Linked DNA regions of Lytechinus pictus. The main gene of each other region encodes a partner of the protein of the gene in region 3 in a complex. Links are inferred from orthologs where the notes say so. Each region holds a gene or a part of one and is shown on either strand. Other genes may lie near its edges.

Region 1 (7,890 bases), on a different chromosome or scaffold from region 3:
ATTAATTGCGGGACACTAAAGGGGATATAACCAATGAAATGTCAAAGCTGTTTCGTCCGGGGTTCGGAGTACTATATAGTAGTCCACTATTCTGCAGGGGATTCAATTAATTGCGGGACACTAAAGGGGATATAACCAGCAAAATGCTACAAGCAGTGGTACTACTACTACTACTACTACTAGTACTGGCCGTAAAAGACTCATCACCGCCCCGAAACTTTCCGGGAGATACTGGTCAGCCGCTGGTCAGACTCGAGTCAAGGGGAAACAACTCTACTCCAGCATTCCCTCACTGCACCGCGGAGAACGATAATCGACACACAGTGGAATCGCATGAAAGATAACATTTTTTCCATATCTAGCTGTGGGTAGATTTACAAAAACATCTCGTCCTTTCAGTGCAGATTTAATTTTATCGACTTGCAAATCCTTAAATCGGTCAATATTCAGCATTTTAGAGGCATATTCAATGCTCTTTGATGTTTCGTCGTCCGCCAAGGTGTTGATTATGAATGCATTGTCGCTACATTGTACAGCGCGCGGATATCCGTTTATCCGGCCTCTTGGCCGTGTTGTTAATAAAGCACACACTCCCACTCAATACTCCGTCTGGTAAATTATCTTTTATTTTATTAATACTGGCGTGGTGGCAGCTTGTGGTCTGAACCTAAGGCCCTAAGGTGATCCTACCAACAGTCCGATAATTCTTACTCTAAACAAGGGGCCAGGCGCTCCGTTAGCCTAACGGTGATAGGTTTGAGTTCTTTTGCATTTTGAGTGTGTGTAGTCCCTTCAACGTATATTCATGTACAGTATGAATAGTTGCTCGACGATACATGTGGGCGTGTCCGCGGCTAAGGGCACCGCCTCGCGAGAGAGCGTGGCGGTTAACAGTAGAATGGAGCAGTGTTCCAATCCTTGTAACTCAGTTATATCCCCATATTTCCATGCTGTTGGCGGTTATGACTATAACTATGAAGAGAAAGAAGTAGAAGTAGAGATAAGGAGTGCGTGTGAGGTGAATTTAATCAGCGAATCAATGGCAGAGACATTGGGATTGGAGATAGTGATTGATGAGATGATGATTGAAGAAGATTACATTGAAATAATACCTAAATATGTAAACAAGAATGGTATCATTGGCCTGACTTATTTCTCACTCTTCTGTAATGGCCTAGAATTACAATTTGATGGTTTGGTTGTTGAGGATGATGCCATGACAAATACTGGAATTATTGCTGGTGCCCCATTTATGGAGGCAAATGACATCTCCGTTAGACCAGCTAGGCATCTGATCACATTCAGTGATGATTCTGTTTTCATCTATCATAGTAAACCAAGTGGTGTCATGAGTGACAAATCTTTAGTATGCAAGAATACTCGTGTAGATCTAGATCAGTCTACTCATGATGATGTTGATCCTATGCATGTGGTGTCTAGGCCAGACCCCATTGCTATAGTCCCAGGGAATTGTGAACAAGATCTTGGTGTCTACTCAGATGAGAGTCGGCTGAATCTGAGTGTTGTGTCTAAGGATGTCCAGTCCTCCGAGTCTGAATGTTCCGCCAATTGTGTAGAGTCAAGTGGGGTTAGTCAAAACCGACCGAACAGGAATCTCAGTGAAGTTGTTCACATTACTCCTCTAGTGAATGATGTTGTTGTGCATAGGCCTACTTCTGATATTGTGCCTGATACATCCGACAAGTTTCGTATGCCTGTCTCGAAGGCTCATTCTCATCTGTCAGGTTCTGGTTTGACCTACGAAGAAGTGCAGTTGCCTGAGCTCGATGATTTGCACTCGCCCGTTTCGGCCTGCTTGTTGCACAAGCCCGATTCTATCGTTTCGCTGCTCATGTCCGATTCTCACGTTTCGCTGCGCTTGCCCGATTCGTTAGATGATAAGTCATGCTTGCCTCATTCGATCGTTTCGCCGTGCTTGCATGATCCAGCAGCTGATCAGTCAAACTTAACCGATTCGGATCCACTCAACAAACAGCGCTCGTTCGTTTCGCTCGGTGACGATTTCGTGGTTGAGTTGGAGTCGAACATCTTGACATCTCCACACTCACCTGGTCATTCACACACGACACCCCACAAACATGACACATCACAATCCTCGTACAATGATCCTTATATCGGTACACGATACTTCCAGTCACATGACCAACCACACACTGATAGCCTAAGAAATCTTCCTCCGGCCATTGTTCGTACCATAGAGATGACTGATAACCACCCTTGTCGCTACCCACCAGATTCTGCAGAAGTCATCCCTATGAAAGTAACCGGCGATACAGTCCTTGACTCAGAGTTGCCAAATCATGTCACCTTTGATTCCACCCCAAAGAAGGTAGCCTGTTGCGCCGATGGACACGACTCTCCGTCACTAGCCCATGGTGCCCGTGACCGTGGTCCTTCAGTAGAGCAAAGAGCACTTGATCACCGTCCTCCATCTTTAGCCTGTGGTACCCATAATGACAATTCTTCATCAGTGACAGTAGCCCATGTTGCCCATGATCACAGCTCACCAGAGACAGTCACCCGTGGTGCCCATGGTCACAGTTCTTCAGTGACAGTAGCCCGTGATGCCTATGATCACGGTTCCTCAGAGACAGCCCTTGGTGCCCATGATCACGGTTCCTCAGAGACAGTAGGCCGTGGTGCCCATGATCACGGTTCCTCGGAGACAGTGGCCCGTGGTGTCCATGATCACGGTTCACCTACCTCGAGAGCCCATGGTTCCCTTGACACTGACCTTCAGATGACAGCCAGCCCTACTGACCATCCTCAACTGACGGCCTGCAGTTTCACTGACCCTCCAGGGCCCCAAGCTGATGACGGCATACTTATGTTACCGGCCCCTACTCCATTTGCCATTCCTCAGCTGAGTAGTCCCACACCCATCTCTCCTGACATCCCTGAATGTTTTAGTAAGGTGCCTCTGCCCCTGTCTCACAAAGACAGTAGCCCGCCCATAATTCCTAATCTTTCCCAACCCACAGGTTCCAGTCCACATACGGCATCCTATATCTTTCAGTCAGGTATCACCCCCGATATCCCAGCAGCGGTTGATGACTACCCGAGCCAGCCTTGCCTGTTTACCACAGCCCATGACCACCCTCCAGAATTTTCCCCTCTCGTACGAAAAGCCCTGGACTTTCATTCCCCTGCCCCATTGCTAGTCGTCCCTTTAGACCCCCCATCTACCCCATATCATATGATTTGTGCTTATTAGGACTGGACCTTACATGTTGTATGTGTTGACTTTTTGCATGTACATTTTTTAGGTTGTACTCCATTAAACTGCTGTTTATCCTGATGTTGTGTATTTTTTTTTTTTCGTCAATCTGGCTTAATTGTTTTTTATTATATTTAATGTACTTTCTCATTTTCCCCCCTTTTTTAACGTGTATTTAGACACTGTAATTAGAGTTAACTGTTGATTTATGTTTTGGATAATCGCTGAGTTTAGGATGTGACTTTTTCATTGATTGTTGATGTGTGAGTTAGTGTATTTGATATTTGCTCACTTGTTTATTACATTGGAGGTAGACAATGTGCTGAGTATTACTTGACTGGAGTGACTGACATGGTTGTTTCATGAATGAGGGTAAGGTGTAAGGATGTACCATGATGCAGGTTGTTATGTGTTCCTATGAAGTGAAGGTGGGATGAAGAGATAGAGTGAAGAGGTAGAGTGTAAGGTGCAAGAATGTACCATGATGCAGGTTGTTATGTTTCCTACCAATATGAAGTGAAGTTGGGATAAAGAGATAGAGTGAAGAGGTAGATTGTAAATGACAGCTGATGCTAAATGAGAGGTAGCAGAACTCATGTTTGATTTAATGTATTGTTTGTACTGTTTACACCAGCATACAGTTTAATTATGGAGTAGTGTTTTGATAGTTTATTGACAAGCAATCATTGGTACAAATATAATCCTCATGTTTTGGTTTGCTATTTTGCCTCACATTAATGTTTAGATTTGTTTATTGATGCATATCATATCATCATACCTGTCATGTATCTGTTATTGTTGTTTTATTATCAATCTGGTATAGGCATTTTGAATAAATTGTATCCTCCTTTGATGGTGGGATATTGTTTGTATTTGACTTTAACAGTGCATTTATGTATATATGTTATGTCAATTGATAGGCAGGATTTATTATGTATGCAGGCAATTTTATTATTTGAAAGTTTCTTGCTCTTTATGGATAAGAATTTGATTGGAGTTTAGTATGGCTTCATTTATCTTTTTAGAGTGTCATTGTATTTTATTGCTGTGTTTTATTATTTTAGCAGACTTGCCTCATTCACCATTTTTGAATGGATATTAAGGAGATTAAGATAAAATGTCAAATGATGTATATGTGTCTTTTAAAGCTGCTTAATAATGAGGATTTGTAATGTGTATTTTTGGATGATTGCTGAAGTTTAATGGGATCTTTTTATATGCAAGTTATATGCAAGTAGTAATGATTTGTATGTTGAAAGACATTTGACTGGTTTTTAGTTTGTAGATGATTTAAAGTGTTGAAAGGCAATTTAATATTTTATGCTGTAAAGAGGAAGTAAAACAAAATGAGATCTGCTTAACAATCTTAGATATGTTAGTTGGTGATACATAGAATTGTGTTATGTTAGATTTAGTAGAGTTGTTCTTGTTACTATTGGTTGGATAGTTTAGATAATGAGGGAGAAGAAAATATGAAGGAAAAATGAGTCACGCCAAGGTGTTGATTATGAATGCATTGTCGCTACATTGTACAGCGCGCGGATATCCGTTTATCCGGCCTCTTGGCCGTGTTGTTAATAAAGCACACACTCCCACTCAATACTCCGTCTGGTAAATTATCTTTTATTTTATTAATACTGGCGGTCACTCTTCGCCAAGAATCCACGGGTCGCCATTCAAGATGAGCTCATGAATATTCAATATGACGTCATAGCAGCCCGCGCTCTCATTGGATGATTTTCACCGACCAGTTTTTGGTCGGTATATTCATGTATTGGTAAAAACAATAAAATAAGAAAAGAAAGTCGGTGAAATTCGGGTCAGATGTCAAGAGGCCCTGTTTCGCGGCGCTCTGCTTCGCTCTCTCCCTTGCTTCGCAATGTTCGCTCGGAATGTTCACACTGTTCGCCGACAGGGCCTCGACAAGAGGCTACCAAAATTGTGGCTCATTGTAGCGGCCGGAACAGTGTAACGGACCCGGGGGGGGGGGGGGCACTTCCATCCACGAGTGGATACCATGCGCGACCATGAGATCTCAAAAAGCACCCTAATGAACACGTTTATTTTCTATATTCTGAAAATGCACCCCTTAACAAGTATTGACGTGTGAAACCCTACCCTTAACAAATATTGGAAACAAAACGATGCTATTGGCAAGTATTCCCTGAATTGAACCCCTAAACAAGTACAGCGATATTTCAATGTTATGTCACGGACGTCGGTCGTCGGTTTTACCTTTACCTACATCATTGCTATGGGTTTAGTACAGCCAAACTCGCGCAAATCGTACTCCTGGGGCAAAAAGTACATCCTTTATATGACATTTTAGTCTTGATTTTTTATACCCTCGCGAATTTGACCCTAAACGCGTAGTTTTCCTAGCAAAATAGATACCCTTTTTCACTATTTTAGTGTTTTTGACACCCTTATTACGTTACGTACGTAACGCGCCCTATCTTGAAACCCTGAAAAAGACATCCTTTTACGTGTTTTTTTGGTCGCGCCCGGGGGGGGGGGGGACACATCCATTGACGAGTGGATACCATGCGCGACCATGGGGTCTCGAAAAGCACCCTAAGCACGTATTTTCCATATTCTGAAAATGCACCCCTCAACAAGTATTGGCGTGTGAAACCCTACCCTTAACAAGTATTGGAAACAAAACGATACTATAGGGAAGTCTTCCCTGAATTGAACCCCTAAACAAGTACAACGATATTTCAATTGTTATGTCACGGACGTCGTTCGTCGGTTTTACCTTTACCTATCATTGGTTAAAGGGATGGTCCGGGCTGAAAGTATGTATAGCTCAGTAAATAGAGCAGAATTCACTGAGCAAAATGCCGAAAATTTCATCAAAATCGGATAACAAATAAAGTTATTGAATTTTAAAGTTTAGCAATATTTTGTGGAAACAGTCGTCATGAATATTCATGAGGTGGGCTGATGATGTCACATCTCCACTTGTTCTTTTGTATTTTGTTATATGAAATTAGGTTTATTCAATTTTTTTCCTCCAAGAACTAAAATAATTGGATTGAAAACTGATTTAGTGCATTAGATATTTATTGCTGCAACTTATTTCATTATAAGGGAGACATATTATTCACACAAGTATGAAATAATGAAAAAATTATGATTTTATGTAATAACATAAGAAAACGGAAAGTGGAGATGTGACATCATCAGCCCACCTAATGAATATTCATGACGACCGTTTTCACAAAATATTGCTAAACTTTAAACTTCAATAACTTCATCATTTGTTATCCGATTTTGATGAAATTTTCGGCATTTTGCTCAGTGAATTCTGCTCTATGTATTAAAATATGAATATTTTCAGCCCGGACCATCCCTTTAAGTACAGCCCCACCTCCCATGCACACCTCGCGAAAATCATACTCTAAACACGTAGTGTTGACTCTTGGGGAAAAAGGTACATCCTTTATTAAACATTTTAGTCTTAATTTTTTATACCCTCACAAATATACACGTAGCGATCCTAGCAAAAATAGGCCTTTTTTCATTATTTTAGTGTTTTTGACATCCTTATTACGTTACGTAAGTAACGTGCCCTATCTTGAAAAATACATCCTTTTTACGTGTTTTTTTGGTCGCGCATGGTATCCACTCGTCAATGTAAATGGGTCGCGCTTGGTATCCGTCAATGTAAGTGCCCCCCCCCCCCGGGGGGGGTAACGGAAAATGTGCGAAGCTTTGGAGCGGATTTCTTTTTTTTTTCTCGATAAGAAGAAAATGCTATGCTTTGGAGCGGCTTTCTTTGTTCTTTTTCTCAATAAGACAAAAATGCTATGCCTTGGAATGGAAATTGGAGTGTAAAAATGGAGGTTCCCTCCGCGGCACATACCCACTATGCATTATATACTGAGTTCCCCCCCCCCCCAGGGATTGGTCCAATTGCCATTCGTCCATATCCATATATTTGACTCAGTGTTAATTCATTGGGCAAAGTGAATGAAAATGAAACAGGTATAAGAACAACTGGTTATGAGACGAAATGTTCATAGACGAACTGGTGATTAGATGAATGATTGGATCGAAATGGCTATTGGACCAAAATGGTTATTATACGAAATGTTGATGGACGGAATGGCATTGAATATATAAAGTGAAACATGAACATAATACATGTTGATAAATTAAAATTGAATTGAATCATTCATTTCTATTTCATTTTATTGTCCACATGGAAATGAGTTTTGCTCACATTATAAACATTTTTAACAAAGTATTATAGGCCTATATACACTAGCGTACCTAGCGTACCTCCCCCAGGGCCTACGACCCGACCTGCATGCCTACACATACAAGCCACTGCTTTGGCCACCTCCTCCTCCTCATTGTAATGATACGAGATTATGTTGTGCTAACTGCATCATAGTAAACAGTGGCGTACCTTGGGTCACGGCATGGGGGGCACCAGCAAACATTTTTAGTCACTTAGTGAGCGCGCGAAGCGCGCTCAGTTGCCAGGTATACTGACCTAATACATGTTATAGAGACATTTTAAGGACAGTGGCGTTAAACGGATATCTCACTGATCAAATAATGCGAGTGCGAAGCGCGAGCTGAAAATTTAGGAAATTCAGACCTGAAGAGGAGCATTGTTTGTAAGAATTCACGAAGACCAT
Region 2 (7,972 bases), on a different chromosome or scaffold from region 3:
GCAAGTTCCCCAAGTTTGCGCACACGCATATCTGCGCAATTCTGGTAAAAGATACACAACGAACACAAACTTTTGCACATGCAATAGTAATACACAGACAGATATTCATTAAAAAATCTGACCCAAAATGGTGGAAAAATAATGAATTTTGGGCATTTCATGTGACGGCCTCAAAATCCAGCCTTTCTCATCAAAATACCCGAATCGTGTGCAAAGTGAATGAGTGTGCAGACATGGGGTACCATTCTTTTTTTTCAATCTGAAAATGACTGCCCTAGCCCGGCAAGGTTTTTTCCCCCAAGAAAATCCTATATTTCTTTCAAATTTTCATGAGATATTTGGTACACTTAATCATAATAATATAAGGAACATTATTCACTCAAAGATTTTTTGAAATAAAAAGAAATTCATGTTAAATCTTAACTCAAATCGTTAGGTGCGCAGACTAATCTAGTTAATAACAACACATCATTAACACCAAATACACCTAACACGGAAATGACTTGGTGGGACAGCGTAAAGTCAAAGAGAAGAAATGTTACTGCGTTATATCTGCAGCTTACATTCGTCCTTTTGACTTCAAGTAATGAGATTTTCTCAGACATCATAACAAGAACATATTTTGAATATATATTACATTTAATAGATCTTTAAATTCTTACCCAGTCCCAGTAAGTTTTATTTGAGAGTAGAACCACACCCCTTTTTCAGCTCGATCGTTGCACTCGCAGTTTTTCCCGAAAACGAAATTGCGTACCGGTACCGGTAATATATTAATCTAAAAATAACTTTATTGAAGTGATTGAATTGCAGAAAAGGGATCATTGGCGGCGGAAGCCAAAAAAATTTGGGGGGTCCAACTTAAATTTTGGGATGGACACAGGTAAAAAAAATTGACAAGCAAAAAAAAAAAAAAACCGGTTATCAACCAAAATTTTAGGGGGGTCCACCTGAATTTAGGGGGCGCAGAAAACAAAATTGACAAGCAAATTAAAAAAAAAAAAAGTTATCAACAAAAAATTTACTCTATAGCCTATACAGATGAGTACAATTATTTTTCACCTTTTTCGTGAATTATGGATTATGGATGAATAACCGAGGTTACTCCCCCTTCACCCATTACAATGCCACGTCCTCCCCATTACTGCTATGAATCAGCACCGTGAATGGTGCTGATTCATAGGCCCCGGCCTCAAATTTAGGGGGGGCAGGACCCCCCCCCCCCCGCTTCCGCCGCCTATGAAAGGGATGCAATTAAGAAAGAAGCAAAAGATTGTAAACGGAGTGAATGGGGGTTAAAGGGGAATTTCACCCTAACAAAATGTTTGATAGCAGAAGAAAAAAATATTATATAGGCCTGAATTAGGTTTGAGAAAAACCCTTAAAACTTCAAAGATTAAAAAAGTTATTGGATTTATAATTTTTTTTTATTTGTGAGAAATTGTAAAGTCATATACGAGCAGCTGCCCCATACGTTATCTAATATAAAATGCATGAATGTCAATGTTTAAATAGTTCATGATGACTTACTATAATTGTTTTCACTAGCGGGTTTGAAATGACTTGTCTGTTGATTTTCGTACTGAAGATGAAAAAAAAACATCCATTTTCAATCATGATATTTGAGAAAAGTAAATTTCTTGGTTATTGTTAAATTCATGACATGGCAAGCAGCTGCTCGCCGTCACACACACACAAAATTTTTTTTGATAACTTTTTAAAATCTCTGATGGATTTTCCTCAACCTTCCCAATATTTTCATTTTTAACTGCTGTTTTTGTCAGCTAGGGTGAACTGTAAACAGGGGAAAGTGCTCGGTGGGGATGGATTTCTCCTATATTTTTGTCCCAAATGAATGGAAGATGAATAGATGACGGCATGGATCCAGGGAACCTCATGCCCGGGTCCTGAGCGGCAGCCTGAGAAAACTTAGAGATTTTGGAGGGGGAAGGAAAATAAAAGAAATAATTCCATTAGAATTATTCCTTGTTAAGAGAAAATGAATACTATAGGGAACAAAGAGACCGTGCAGAATCGGTCCTGCATTCCCTCCACCATGGAACCCCCCCCCTCAACTGAAAAAAAACCACCGAGGGGATCGAGGGGGAGGGGGTAAATTCAAAATACTGCCGATAAGGAGTCCGGGGGAGAATATAAGCGATATATAGAGAGCAAAAAGTAGAAGAATATGGAAGCAGAAGTACTAGGGTAAAGGGAATAAAGACAGAAAGAAAGAAGAAATGAAATTGGCCAAAAATAGATATATAGGAGCATGTAGAAATTGTGAATCTAAAAGCAACAGTTTAATTTTGTGATAGATTTTGGCTCTTTGAATATCTCGTTTCACCCGTTTTCCTCAGATTACCCTTTCTTTGATTAGTCCTGGAACTATGGAGAGTCGCATGTATCATGGACCCTATTCCATCCCGGGGGGGGGGGCGGGGGTCATGCATATATGCGTGTATTCTAAGTCCCCCATCTAATCAAAATTACAGAGGTAATGGGAAAGGTGATGACAGAGGTAAAAATGTCAGAGGAAAAAAATGGCAGACGTATGATATAGCAGAGGTGAAAATGACAGAGGTAAAGATGACAAAGGAAAAATGGCAGAGATGAAATTAAGAAATGAGAGAGGTAATATGACAGAGGTGTAAATGGGGGAAAATAACATGAGGCAAAAATGGTAGACATAAAAAATGGCAAAGGCAAAGACGTATGGCATTGCTTTAAAGGACAAGTCCACCCCCAACAAAAAGTTTATTTGAATTAAAAGAGAAAAATCCAACAAGCATAACACTGAAAATTTCATTAAAATCGGATGTAAAATAAGAAAGGTATGACATTTTAAAGTTTCGCTTAATTAAAAAATATAGTTATATTCACATCTTGGTCGGTGTTCAAATGAGGAGACGGATGACGTCATCAACTCACTATTTCTTTTGTATTTTATTATATGAAATATGAAATATTTTAATTTTCTTCTCGTTGTTAAGTGAAACGACGATTAATTCCTCCTTGAACATGTGGAATTAGCATTGCTCAATAATATATGGTTCAGTCAAATTGGCCCTTATTGTCAAACCTGTAAAAAAATGAAATAATGTATAATTCAAACAATAAAAAAAAGAAATAGTGAGTGGGGGACATCATCGACTCTCTCATTTGCATATCACTGAGTAGTGCATATAATTGTTTTGCGAAAAATAAGCGAAATTTTAAAATGTCATAACTTTCTTAATTTACATCCGATTTTGATGTGCTTGATTGATTTATTCAACTAAACATTTTTCTGAGGTGGACTTATTCCTCCTTGAACATGTGGAATTAGCATTTTTCAATAATATATGGTTCAGTCAAGTTGGCCCTAATTGTCAAACCTGTAAAAAATGAAATAATGTATAATTCAAACAATAAAAAACAAAAGAAATAGTGAGTGGGGGACATCATCGACTCTCTCATTTGCATATCACTGAGTAGTGCATATAATTGTTTTGCGAAAAATAAGCGAAATTTTAAAATGTCATAACTTTCTTAATTTACATACGATTTTGATGAAATTTTCAGTGTTGTGCTTGATTGATTTTTTTCTATTTATTCAACTAAACATTTTTCTGAGATGGACTTGACCTTTAAGCACGGTGCAGGGAAATCACTGGCCCGGATCATTGGCTTTCTATATTCGAGCTGCCTTTTGTCGTCTAAATGTGTATATTATATTGCAAAGGGGCGTTTAGCGTTTAGCGAGAATTTTTTTTCGAATTTTAATTAGTAGTTTTCATTTTAGAGCACTTTATTGGATATACTGCCGGGGATACTGCATTATCGTAATTATTATCATTGGATTTGGCATAACCAATAGACATAATAAGAGCTCACAGCTTGCAAAAGGGGTTAGGTCCATTTTTCATCAAATTTAATTTTGTATGTCTCAATGTATAGATTTTAGGAGCTCTATAAGATGATACTAAAGAAAAGTTGAAATTCCCATTAAAAAGTGAACTAAAATGGCAAAGAAAAATCACCTTTTTTTTCAAAAGGGGTACCATTTCAGTTCGTACGTTGCAAAAGGGGTTAGGTCCACATAGAATTTTTTTGGAAAAGAATATTTAAAAAAATATGAAGACATGTAGATTTCTTTTATACCCATGCAATGTTATGTTCTGCATGGTAGGATATCATGAAAATTTAGTTTCGCATAGGAATATTGCAATATTTGAAGAAAAAAAAAAGATTTTCTTGGAGAAGTTGGAGTGGACCTGCAACCAAACTCTTCTGAAGAGCTCATTTGTCAAAAGGGGTTGGGTCAATTTTTCATAAACTTTATTGTTTTCTGTCTCTTAACCTCTAAATTTTTAGTCGCTCTGATGATACCAAAGAAAATTTGAAATTCAAATGAAAACGTGAATAAAAGTGGCAAAGAAAAATCACCTTTTTAATCAATAGAGATTGGATTCAATTCAGTTTTGCAAAAGGGGTTAGTTCTACGATGATATTTAACAAATATATATATAGAAAAATTTGAAGACGGGTAGATTTCTTTTATACCCAATTTTATGTTCACATGATTGGGTAGTAGTTTTCATGACAATTTCGTTTCTCATACCAATAAGTGAGAATAAAAAACATTTTTTCTGGGAATGGTGAACCTCTTTTGCAACCAAACTCTTCATAAATTATATAAGGAACCAACATGAGGTTTTTTTTTCTTTTTGGTCTGATATTTCTTCCTTTTTTTGGTAGGATGGGGGATCGTACCCTGTATCTGGGCCATTTATAGTTGGGACGGACCATGGAGCTGTGTTGATAGCTCCAGATATGGACGGACGATGTCGACTCGACAGGGGCGACTCGATCTTCATATCATCGAGATGATCTGAGACGACTTTCTTTGCCTTTGATGGTTATTCTTGAGCGTTGGTAGTCAATGAAATTTGGACTGAATTTCCCTTGATATTAGCTCGGATTTGGACTAGAAGTTGTTTATTTTATCTACAATCATGCAGACTATTGTAGCTAACGTCGAAAATGTAAACTTTGAGGTGGAGGTGCAGATTAACATGCAGCTAGGGACGTTACCGCTTCCCTTTTCAGGCATGGATAGTAAGTTAGATTTTTTTAAATCTTGGTCCCACTCATGTATAACGATGTAGGATGGGGTTGGGTGTCCGGACATGTAACAAAAATGAAGCCTTCTTTTTTGTCTTTGGATTAAACAAAAACTGTGCATTGATTAGTGCTAATCATCATCAATATTTGTTCTCGATAATATTGTCTAACATTTTGTGCGAAAACATTTAAGAGATTTGAATTGTGAACTTTTATTGTCTTTTTCAATTGGCTGTTTAAAATCGACTGCTGTCCGGATACACAACCTGTCCGGACACCCAAGGCCAAGGGTATACCATGTCTTTTTTTTTTGTAGACTATTCTACGAGTAGATCTTTACGAGCTACGACGACAAAGTGTTGATTCTTTATATGAAGGACTTGGTGATAATTTTGGTATCTTAAAGCTGGTAGCCGTCTGTTTCGAGGAGTTTTTAAATAACAAATAACATTTTTAATTATTTTTTTATTTCTCGTACACAGAATGCAGACGGCTCACGATTGTGCAGCTGCCATTAGGAGGTTAACAATATAAAATCCCCCTGATGGGCCTCATCGATTTTTTTCTTTATTTCTTAAAAATATATTAAAAGAACTGGACCGACAGTGACCAAAAATAAAGATTAGGCCAAGTAAAAAAAGATAGTAGTTGATCGTCCGGGTTTTTTGAGAGCGGTGATGAGGGAGGTCCTTGCTATTTGCTATCTTACTATTTTTTTTAAAAACAAGGAGGCATTTTCTCGGCCCGATTTTTGACATCAGTAATGAGGGAGGTCCTTACTATTTACTATTTTTTTTGCTATTTTTATTTAAATGATTGTCGGGCCATGTCAAGCTCGAATTATGTGATCCATGTATGCTCAATATTAATAATAAATGAGTAGAAATATATATATATATTTTATATGTATAAATATCTTCTTCTTCTTCTTCTGGAAACAGTACAGTCCACCGTCTGGTGTATTGTCGTACTGGTGATATCAACGATTGATTGGAAATCTATGGAAAATGTATTGTGCGATAAAATATATTGATGTATTACTGATGTATACTGGTACTGTATTGTTGTAAAACAGAATGTTCATGTCAAGTGAATAATTTAAACATTTTATATTAATATATATGTAAGGGTAACTGCATGGGGGGTCATTTTTATTACCATCGGGAGTCATGTTCAGTTTTCCAGAGCCAATCTCTTTTTGTCTGGGACTGGGCATGGTTTCGCATCGCAGTTTTCAGCTGCTTGTTCGTTTACATAATGTTTAATACTGTTCAATTTTCATTCATTTTTAAAATTGATATTGAATATTAAATCTCTCATTGAATATTCGATGCATTGCCTGCTAACATTAGAAAACTCGCCAGAAAATTCAATGCATTTCACAAATTCACATGTCACGCCAGCACAGTCAATCAATCCTAGCACACATGCAGTTCACCCAACAGAGTCACAAGCACACTATACAATCACCGTAACACACATCTAAGTACAGGCGCTATCACTCATAAAAAAACCCCGCTGAAATACAAATTACGTCATTAAAATTGATTTATCTGTGCCATATTTCCAAAGCACGCGACGGATTAAGTCAGATTCAGTAAGCGGGGTCCCCGAAAATGCACTAAAAATGAAGAAATCCGTGATCTTATCCGAGTTTGCAATCTTTATTTCCTTGCTAATTTATGATGGTATCTTCAAAATTCCAATAAAAAACCAAATCAGAATTTTTTTCTTTCTTGCAATTACGGCGATATCGGATTTTGCAATTGTTTTTGAAGTTGCGAGAGAGTTCCCAGAGTAATCTTGTGAATTTTGTTCACTATTCAACAGCCATAAAAATAGTTAATATCAAGAAAATTGATGCTGCAATCAAAAAGGGGAGAGGGCGCGGACGAGAAACAACACAATTTTTTTAATTTTTTAAAAATAGAAAATAGTAAATAGCAAAAAATTTCATGCGGCGGCCAAAATTGATGCGCGCGAGGACGATCAACTACTTTCTTATTTTGCTTGGCCTTATATATCATTATTATTCACCAAATGCACCAAATGCACCAAATGCACCAAAACGGGAAAAAATAAACTTAAATTTTCAAAGAAAAAAAAACAGTGACTTACTTTGGCTGTCATGCAACTCCCACTTCCCTGGTTTATCCGAACTTAATTATGGCCATTGAGTCTAGCCTTGAGGACTCCATGATGATATTTTTTAATATTTTGCCATATACTTCATCATGGAGCCTTGAAACTCTTTCCATAGATGCATGAGCGAGACCTCCACACCCAGATGAATTTCCCTATGAAATCCATATTTACAGGGAGAAATCGGTTTATAAAAGTGTGAATTTTATTGATCTTTGAACCTTCAAACGCCAAATGCGTATGAAGGGATAAAAAATATTTCACTATGAATGGCAAAAATTCGAGGTTTCTTACCAGACTGATCTCGTGTAGATCCCTCGATTTGTTTGTCAACAAAGCAAATGCAATAGGTCTGACCCTTGAACCGCTTCGTTATGATGTACTTTCGATAAGCGATGTTACAAAATGCTGTTTTGAAGAACAATTTATAGATAAAAATTATTATTTAACAAATACTAGAATTTAATACATGATTATGAATAATTATGATTATAATAATGATTTATAATCATGTATTAATCTTGTCCGTATCCAAATTCAACTCACTGTAAAATTGTCTGCCCTTGTTTAATTAAAGTGAGATTGATACCTTGCCATGGAAGAAAAAGATGATTTTTGAATATTAATAAAGTATCAATATGAATTATGATTTATTTTCTGAGTAGATTTAAATAAAATACAATTTGATTTTTCATCTGTAGTTTCCTTATCTTCTGAATCACCC
Region 3 (7,389 bases):
TAACAGCACTGTCAGTTCTTAAAAATGGCGTAAAAGATAACAAAATCCCAATCTAAAAAATGTAAAATTTCAGTAACAAACTACAAACGTACAATAAATGCTGCACTTTATTCAAAATCCATGTCATTTTCACCAAAATTTGCAGAGTTGTAGAGGAAGGTATACCTAAGAGGTACAAACATTAAAAAATAGGGGTTCATGTGCTTGTTTTTAAACTATCAGCATTTTTATTAGAGCAAATGTGCCTTTTAAAACACCAAAAATGGGCCGAATGCTTAGTATCTATGTGAAGAAAAAATCAAAACCACTCTACCATTTATTCAAACTCGGGGTAATATTCGTGATTCTTGGCAGCACTGCAGAGTAAAGTATTTTGAAATTGTAGAGAATATTTTTTTGAATGGTCCATGGAATAATTCAATTTTTTAGCTTCATGAAATAACGCATCGGATCTGCAGTTAAAGTGCAGAAGATGAGAAAAATCAGCTGATACCCGCAGCTAATTAATCACCTGTTCATCCATTGTGACGTCAGCGCGCAGAGTGTAAACTATGCGCAGATCATAATGCGCACAAATATAACTGTGGAACGTCCTTAAGGCTTATCCTCATTACCAGGTCCCTCGGAGAGGACCTTAAGCCGTTGGTCCCCTGGTTGCTTGCTCACAGGCATTCGTGCTTTTTTAGCAGTCAGGTAAAAAATCTCGATATAACATAACATTAAAAAAAAGTGAAGGTCATTTTGTCCTGCGTGAAATTTTAAAAGTAATAAAAAGATGGTCACTAAAATTGAAGTTCATTTTGTTTGTGAAATATTTGGCAAGCCCCCCTCCCAAAAAAAGGTTTTAACTAAAAATGATTGAAGGCCATTTTGTTCCTCTTAAAATTTGTCAAGTATAAAAAAAAAAATCACTAAAAAATGAAGGTCATTTGTCCCACGTAAAATTTGACAAGCCCCCCCCCCCCTAAAAAAAATGAAAGGTAGCTGATAATGATTGAAGATCATTTTTTCTTGCATAACATTTTACAAAAAAAAGTGTGTCACTATTTGGCGAGCCCCCTACCCTCCAAAAAAAAGGTTTAATTAATAATGATCGAAGGTCATTTTGTCTCTCGTAAAATTTGACAAATAAAAAAAAAGTTGTCACTAAAAAAAGAAGGTCATCTTGTCGCGCGTTATATTTGGCAAGCCCCCACCCCCCTAAAAAAGTTTGTCATTAAATATAGAAAGTCATATGTTCAAAGTAAAATAAATTTGGGAAGCAAAAAAGAAAAGGACAAAAAAGAGCAAAGAATATGAACAAAATATCCCCATTACAAATATTGCTGTGATTCTCATAAGGAGGTGGGGGGGGGGGGGGAATTAACTTTGTACGAACGACATTTTTTTTTTACATCCAAAATACACTTGTTCACTGCAACCATCCTGCCTGTGGAGAATCTACAGGTAGGACTATGGCATGCCAATGCTGTACACAGCACACACTTTAAAAAATGATTAAAATATCACTTTTATGACCAAAATTACTAATTTCCATACAGTTGCAATTTATTTTTCATTAGTAACTTGGGAATAATTTTTGTATTCACTAGAGCGCTCAAAAACTTGAATTTTGGGCATATTTTTGTGTACGCCCTCTATTGATAGAAAATAATATGGCAAGAAAATTGTCATTTTTTAATCTCTATTTTTAATTAAGAAAAAATAATTTAAAGAATCAAATTTACTTAAGGGCCAAGTCGTATAACGAATAATTGTGATGGAAACTGTCAGTGTAAAAAAATCAAGCATTTTTCCCAAAGAAAAAGAGAAAATAAGCCAAACATTGCCATCCTTATTTTGCCACACATGGAGATATAACTGAGAACAAGGTTATATCATAACCTTGTTCATTGAATGAGTGCCAAAATATTGACTATGAATCTCAAAAGGTGGAACGGGCCAGAAATGCTCAACCCCCCCCCGATCTGCCATTGATTCCAATCGATAATGACTTTTCCCTGCAATACTGATGCTTGAAATCAAGATACTGAAGATTGATATATTGTAATATAAATTATGAACGTCTGACAAAAAGATAACCAACCGATCACCTGACCGATCAGCTGACCAGTACGTGAATCACATCGTAGTTGATCAGTCCCCACAGCGTTTGGAACGCTCACCAAGAATTCAAGAAAAAAGACTGAAAATGTAAGTTTAACCTCAATCCATTAAATTTCAAATGTCGTAGAAGTTTCCTTATCATGTTTAAAACTAATTAATACCTAAATTGTTACCATCCACTATGTATTAAGGCGTACATTTGCCAAAGTTCTTGGGTGCAAATAGAAACGGCAATGTCTAACCGGTTTTATCACTGATGTCGCCTATGAGGTCCATACATGTAATGTTTGGACCTCATTGGTACTAGGAGTGCAATATTGGCCGTGCGCCTCTACTGCCAGTGCCAAAGTCTTTACAGTAAAAAGATTGGACACTTTGCCGACTTCGCGTAACGCTTTGCATCGATTTACGTGTAAGATAGTTTTTGTGTCTAGTCTCTCCCTTGTAGTAGGCCTAGTGTCTTTGATATGATTATGAAGATAAATCGCGCGCCCTCTTTCGCTCGACATGTCATTAGACAATATTAGACAAAAAATTTGAGAACTCGCAAGGTTGGGCCGTATTTTGTCAACGAGAAGAAAATCAACGCTTAAATGACGCTATGTATTTGAGGGTTATTCATCATATTAGGAGAAATTGACTTCACATCGTTTGGTAAATTTCGTAGGACTTCATTCTGTAAATCCTCTTATTAGTGATGTTAGCTAACGCCAAAGTGAATAGGTGGGACATTGGAATAGCGGGCAAAAAATAGAGCCCAAGAGAAAAAAAAATTATAAATAAAAATACTTACAATGGTCGAACAATCAAACGGTCACTTTCCTCCTCTGGGATCTGCGCATCTGGCTTTCTTTTGGCAGCCATTGCTTCAAATTATAAGCGATTTTCATAAAATTTCAACGACACAAACAAATCCACACGCGCGATCATTAAGAAAATGTCGCCCTCTATAATCAGCGAGCAGGGAGCTAGCTAGAGCAACGAATTGTGAGCTAGAGGTTGACGAAAATGTTGTTGTATTTTTTTGGCTCTCACAGGAAATTATTCTAATCCCAATTCCATTAACACTTCCCCACTTCTATATCGTCCCAATATGCTCTTCATAAACTTAAATCATGAAGGGATTTACAATCCTTTTCATCAAAATAAAGGTGTTGGTTTTACAATATTCTCCCAAACCTCATTGAGCTTGCGTGTTTAAACTCTTACAGCCTTTTGACGAGTTTATTTCGTTTAATTAATTACTTGTTTTATGTTTGTTTTGTTTTTCTTGATTTGATATGATTTTCGCCACGAATGACTTTCATTCAATAAACTTTACCACTACAGGGGAATTAATTTTACAAGTACGTTATGGGTTCCCTAATTAGTTTTCCCATCTTTCCTTATTATTAGTTTTGCATTACTAGTATTACTAATAATGCAAAATAGTAATAAGGAATGATGGGGAAAACTAATTAAGAGAAACGTTTCTTTTATTTCGTCAAACCTATACTGCGATAGGCCTATGTATCTCGAAATTTTCCCACATGTTAGATGTTTTTTTGTGTTATTCTTGGTGTTGTTGTTGTTGTTGGGTTTTTTAACCACGTCTAGTACAAGCACCATTTCTTTTAGTCTGTACTGCAAGTATAATGAAAACGAAAAAAAAGGCTTGAATTTTAATTTTACAAATGTTCCCTTTTCATGCGGGTCCGCTTTATCAAGATAATTTCACCACCCTACAGTGGCGTAGCTAGGATTTTTTTCCTGGGTATGGTCCTTGCTTTTTGATTGGGGGCAAATTTTTTATTCTCTTTGTGTATATATTATGTCAAAGGGGCGGATCCGTCCCATAGGAGGCGAGGCCCAAAATTATTTTACCCATATTTTCCCCCGATCGGCCGCTTAAAGTAGATTTTTGTTTGTTCATGTTTTTTGAAGCCTTGAAGGAATAGTCCTCATATAGTCACTAATTCCTAGCTTTATTCTTATAAAACAAGTGAAATAACCTCATTAGCCATAAATAAAAGAGCAACCGCGAAGCGCGACCTAATTTGTTGTTTACTTTCATGCATTTTGTCATGAAAATGTAAGGGGCAATGTTTTTTATCCTAAACAACTAGGTAATTACTGTGAACGCCGAGCGCGAGCATGAATGTTTAATTAACGTTCTGGCCTGATCGAAAAGGGACCTGTTAAGAACTGTTTACAGTTACCCATGAAGAGCTCAGTTGCAAAAAGAATAGGTCAATTTTTCATCATTTTTTTTTTCGACTCAATGTATAGATTTTTAGTAGCTCTATAAGAAACCAAAGAAAAGATTTTCCTTTATCAAAAGGGGTTAGGTCCAATTCAGTTTGGTTGCACAAGGGTTAGGTCCATAAAGACATGGAAAAGAATATGCCTATTCAAAAAAAATATGAGAACACTCTTTTATACCCAATTTTATGTTTACATGGTATAGGGTATCATAAAAATATAGTTTTGGATAAGAATATTGCAATATGGGAGAATAAAAAAAAAATCTTGAAGTGGATCTATTCCCTTTTGCAACCAAACTCTTTTGAAGAGCTCATTTGTCAAAAGGGGTTAGGTCCATTTTTCATAAATTTTATTGTTTTCTGTCTCAAAACCTATAAATTTTTAGTCTGTCCGATGATACCAAAGAAAATTTGAAATTCACATTAAAACGTGAATAAAAGTGGCAAAGAAAAAAAAACACTTTTTTTATTCAAAAGAGATTGGATTCATTTCAATTTGCTTGCAAAAGGGGATGGGTCCAGAATGATATTAAAAAAAAAAAATATGTAGTAAAAATTTAAGACAGGTAGATTTCTTTTATACCCAATTTTACGTTCACATGCTAGGGTAGTACATCATGACAATTTAGTTTCTCACAAGAATATTGCAATAAGTGAGAATAAAAAACATGATTTTTCTCGGAATGGTCTAAAGTGGACCTAACCCCTTTTGCTACCAAACTTTTTATGTTTCAACAAATAATGCGAGCACGAAGCGCGCGAGTTGACAATTTTTGACTTTCCGACCTGAAAAAAAAAAAAAATTCTAAGCACTTTTTGTAATCATGAAAGGAATAGGTATAGATATGTGGAGCGTTATGAAGCGTTGTGGCCCAGTGGATAAGTCTCCGGACTTTGAAACAGAGGGTCGTGGGTACAATTCCCAGCCATGGCGTAGTTTCCTTCAGCAAGTAATTCATCCACATTGTGCTGCACTCAACCCAGGTGAGGTGAATGGGTACCTGGCAGGAATTTATTCCTTGAAATGCGTTTGCGCTGTAATCTTAGTAATTACGGCTGCCAAGCTACAGCTGGGGTAATAAGTCCTTTGGAAGCGCGTAAAAAACATTATTCATAATGTGATATGCGCTATACAAGAACTGTATATTATTATTATTGTTGTATGTAACTAAACAATTGATGCAAGAACTGTATATTATTTATTATTATTGTATGTAACTTAACGATCGATGCGAGCGAAAATTTAGATTTTAGACCTAAAACGAGACACTCTACAGTGAGTAAAAAAAAAACGTCTTTAAAATTTTGTTTCAAATTATAATGTCTATATATATTTTGGTGTAAATAGGTGCTCTAAGGTCTTATCTTTGAAATGCTATTAAAAAAAATTAACTTTGTTCATACTTGAGCGAACACGGGACGTTTATGTTGGGGGTTCAAAAAGAGGCTTGCGCCAGAATTGCAGAATACGAGTAATATGACGATCAGGCTTCTTGCTAATCAGGAGACTTCCTCTTGATCTTTTCATTATCTGTGCCACAATTTTCGAATTATGCTGTCAAATTTTATTTACAAATTTATTTATTTACTTGAATTATTTGTTTTTTTCATTTAAACTTCTCTTACCTTTTAATTTTCCTTCAAAAGTAAGTGAGAAAAGAAGATTTTTTGTCAACCCAAGCAAAAAGATTTGTATTATTAATTGGGAAAACTTGTGATTATTCAAATCCTTTTATTATTGTGAAACAAATTATGTTATGTACCTTTAAAAGACATGAATCTATTTTTCAAAGGGTCATTGATTCCTTGACCAAGTTTAATTGCTTGACAGGAAACACAGGAAGGGATTCATGTCTTTCAATGACAATGGTGTATCGAGTCAATTTTGAAGGAGCTAGATGTGGCAGATCGGTTAAAATGTATTTAAAAGTTGTGAGCGAGCGAAGTGAGCACGCAAATATTCCCACTTTTTTATTACAATATCAAATTTTGTGATAGATTTTGACATAATATTTAGAAAATAATATCATATTTTACTTTCTATCTTTCCTTTTATTTCCTGTCCACTTTTTTTCTTGGTCATGATTTTTTTTAAATTAAGGGGGTTGGGGAGCATCCCAAGCCCCCGCCCATCTTTGTGGCACTGTTCAAAAGGCACCATAACCTTTGTAGCACACAATGAAAGGATTTGAAAAAAAAATCCACGCTCTCCCATACTTCGTTAAAACAAAATTGTTTTAGCTTGAAGAAGGAATATTAAAAGCTAACAGAGAGCATATTAAAAAGAAACAACAACATAACAATTCAAGCAAATAAATAGATCTGAAAATGAATTTTGACCGCATGATTTGAAAAATTATGGCAAAGATAATGAATAGGTTAAGAGGAAGTCTGCTAATTAGCAAGAAGTCCGATCATCATATTTATAATTCTATGCCGTTTTGGCACAAGCCTCCATTTTAACCCCAGACAAAAACATTCCGTGTTCGCTCAAGCATGAACGAAACTAAATTTTTTTCAAAAGCATTTGAAAGATAAGACCTTAGAGCACCAAAATATAGACATTATAATTTGAAACAAAAATTTTATAGAATTTTCAAATCTGTCCCTTTTTTTTATACGCACTGTATTAATATTAAATCATGAATTGATTGATTTTATTTGGCAAATCACTACAACATATAAACAGTAGCATTAAAAACAACATGCTTGCACAGGAAAACCCACGAAAGCTCATTTCCAGTGGGTTCCTCGACATGACTATAGAATTAAGATAATAAAATGATAAATTATACTATTTACATAATGAAAGCGCAAAGGAAAAAAAAATCAGAATTTAATATTAGCAACAAGAAGAATAGAAAGACAAAATGAGAAGAAGCAGAAGAAGAAGAAGAAAAAAGAAAGAAAAAGAAATGAAGGAGAAGAAGGAGGAGAAATAGAAGAAGAAAGATGGGTTATTGGGTATCTTGCTAGTTCAAGTTTTATTTTTCATTTCCATTATCAACATTATAAGCAAATACAAATCAAAGATACATTA

The links.
Region 1: cleavage and polyadenylation specificity factor subunit 3-like (region 3) and cleavage and polyadenylation specificity factor subunit 2-like share a complex: the UniProt entries of both Drosophila melanogaster proteins name them as parts of the cleavage and polyadenylation specificity factor (CPSF) complex. The link is inferred for Lytechinus pictus from reciprocal best matches to the Drosophila melanogaster genes Cpsf73 and Cpsf100.
Region 2: cleavage and polyadenylation specificity factor subunit 3-like (region 3) and cleavage and polyadenylation specificity factor subunit 4-like share a complex: the UniProt entries of both Drosophila melanogaster proteins name them as parts of the cleavage and polyadenylation specificity factor (CPSF) complex. The link is inferred for Lytechinus pictus from reciprocal best matches to the Drosophila melanogaster genes Cpsf73 and Clp.

What each region holds. Positions count from the first base shown.
Region 1 is NC_087251.1:22,718,643-22,726,532, forward strand, and holds the start of cleavage and polyadenylation specificity factor subunit 2-like, read left to right. Parts: upstream 1-4,808; 5' UTR 4,809-4,849; intron 4,850-7,890. UniProt on the Drosophila melanogaster protein: Component of the cleavage and polyadenylation specificity factor (CPSF) complex that plays a key role in pre-mRNA 3'-end formation, recognizing the AAUAAA signal sequence and interacting with poly(A) polymerase and other factors to bring about cleavage and poly(A) addition.
Region 2 is NC_087254.1:5,833,458-5,841,429, reverse strand, and holds the start of cleavage and polyadenylation specificity factor subunit 4-like, read left to right. Parts: upstream 1-4,865; 5' UTR 4,866-4,997; coding exon 4,998-5,100; intron 5,101-7,972. UniProt on the Drosophila melanogaster protein: Component of the cleavage and polyadenylation specificity factor (CPSF) complex that plays a key role in pre-mRNA 3'-end formation, recognizing the AAUAAA signal sequence and interacting with poly(A) polymerase and other factors to bring about cleavage and poly(A) addition.
Region 3 is NC_087250.1:4,456,221-4,463,609, reverse strand, and holds the start of cleavage and polyadenylation specificity factor subunit 3-like, read right to left. Parts: upstream 3,057-7,389; 5' UTR 2,971-3,056; coding exon 2,900-2,970; intron 1-2,899. UniProt on the Drosophila melanogaster protein: Component of the cleavage and polyadenylation specificity factor (CPSF) complex that plays a key role in pre-mRNA 3'-end formation, recognizing the AAUAAA signal sequence and interacting with poly(A) polymerase and other factors to bring about cleavage and poly(A) addition.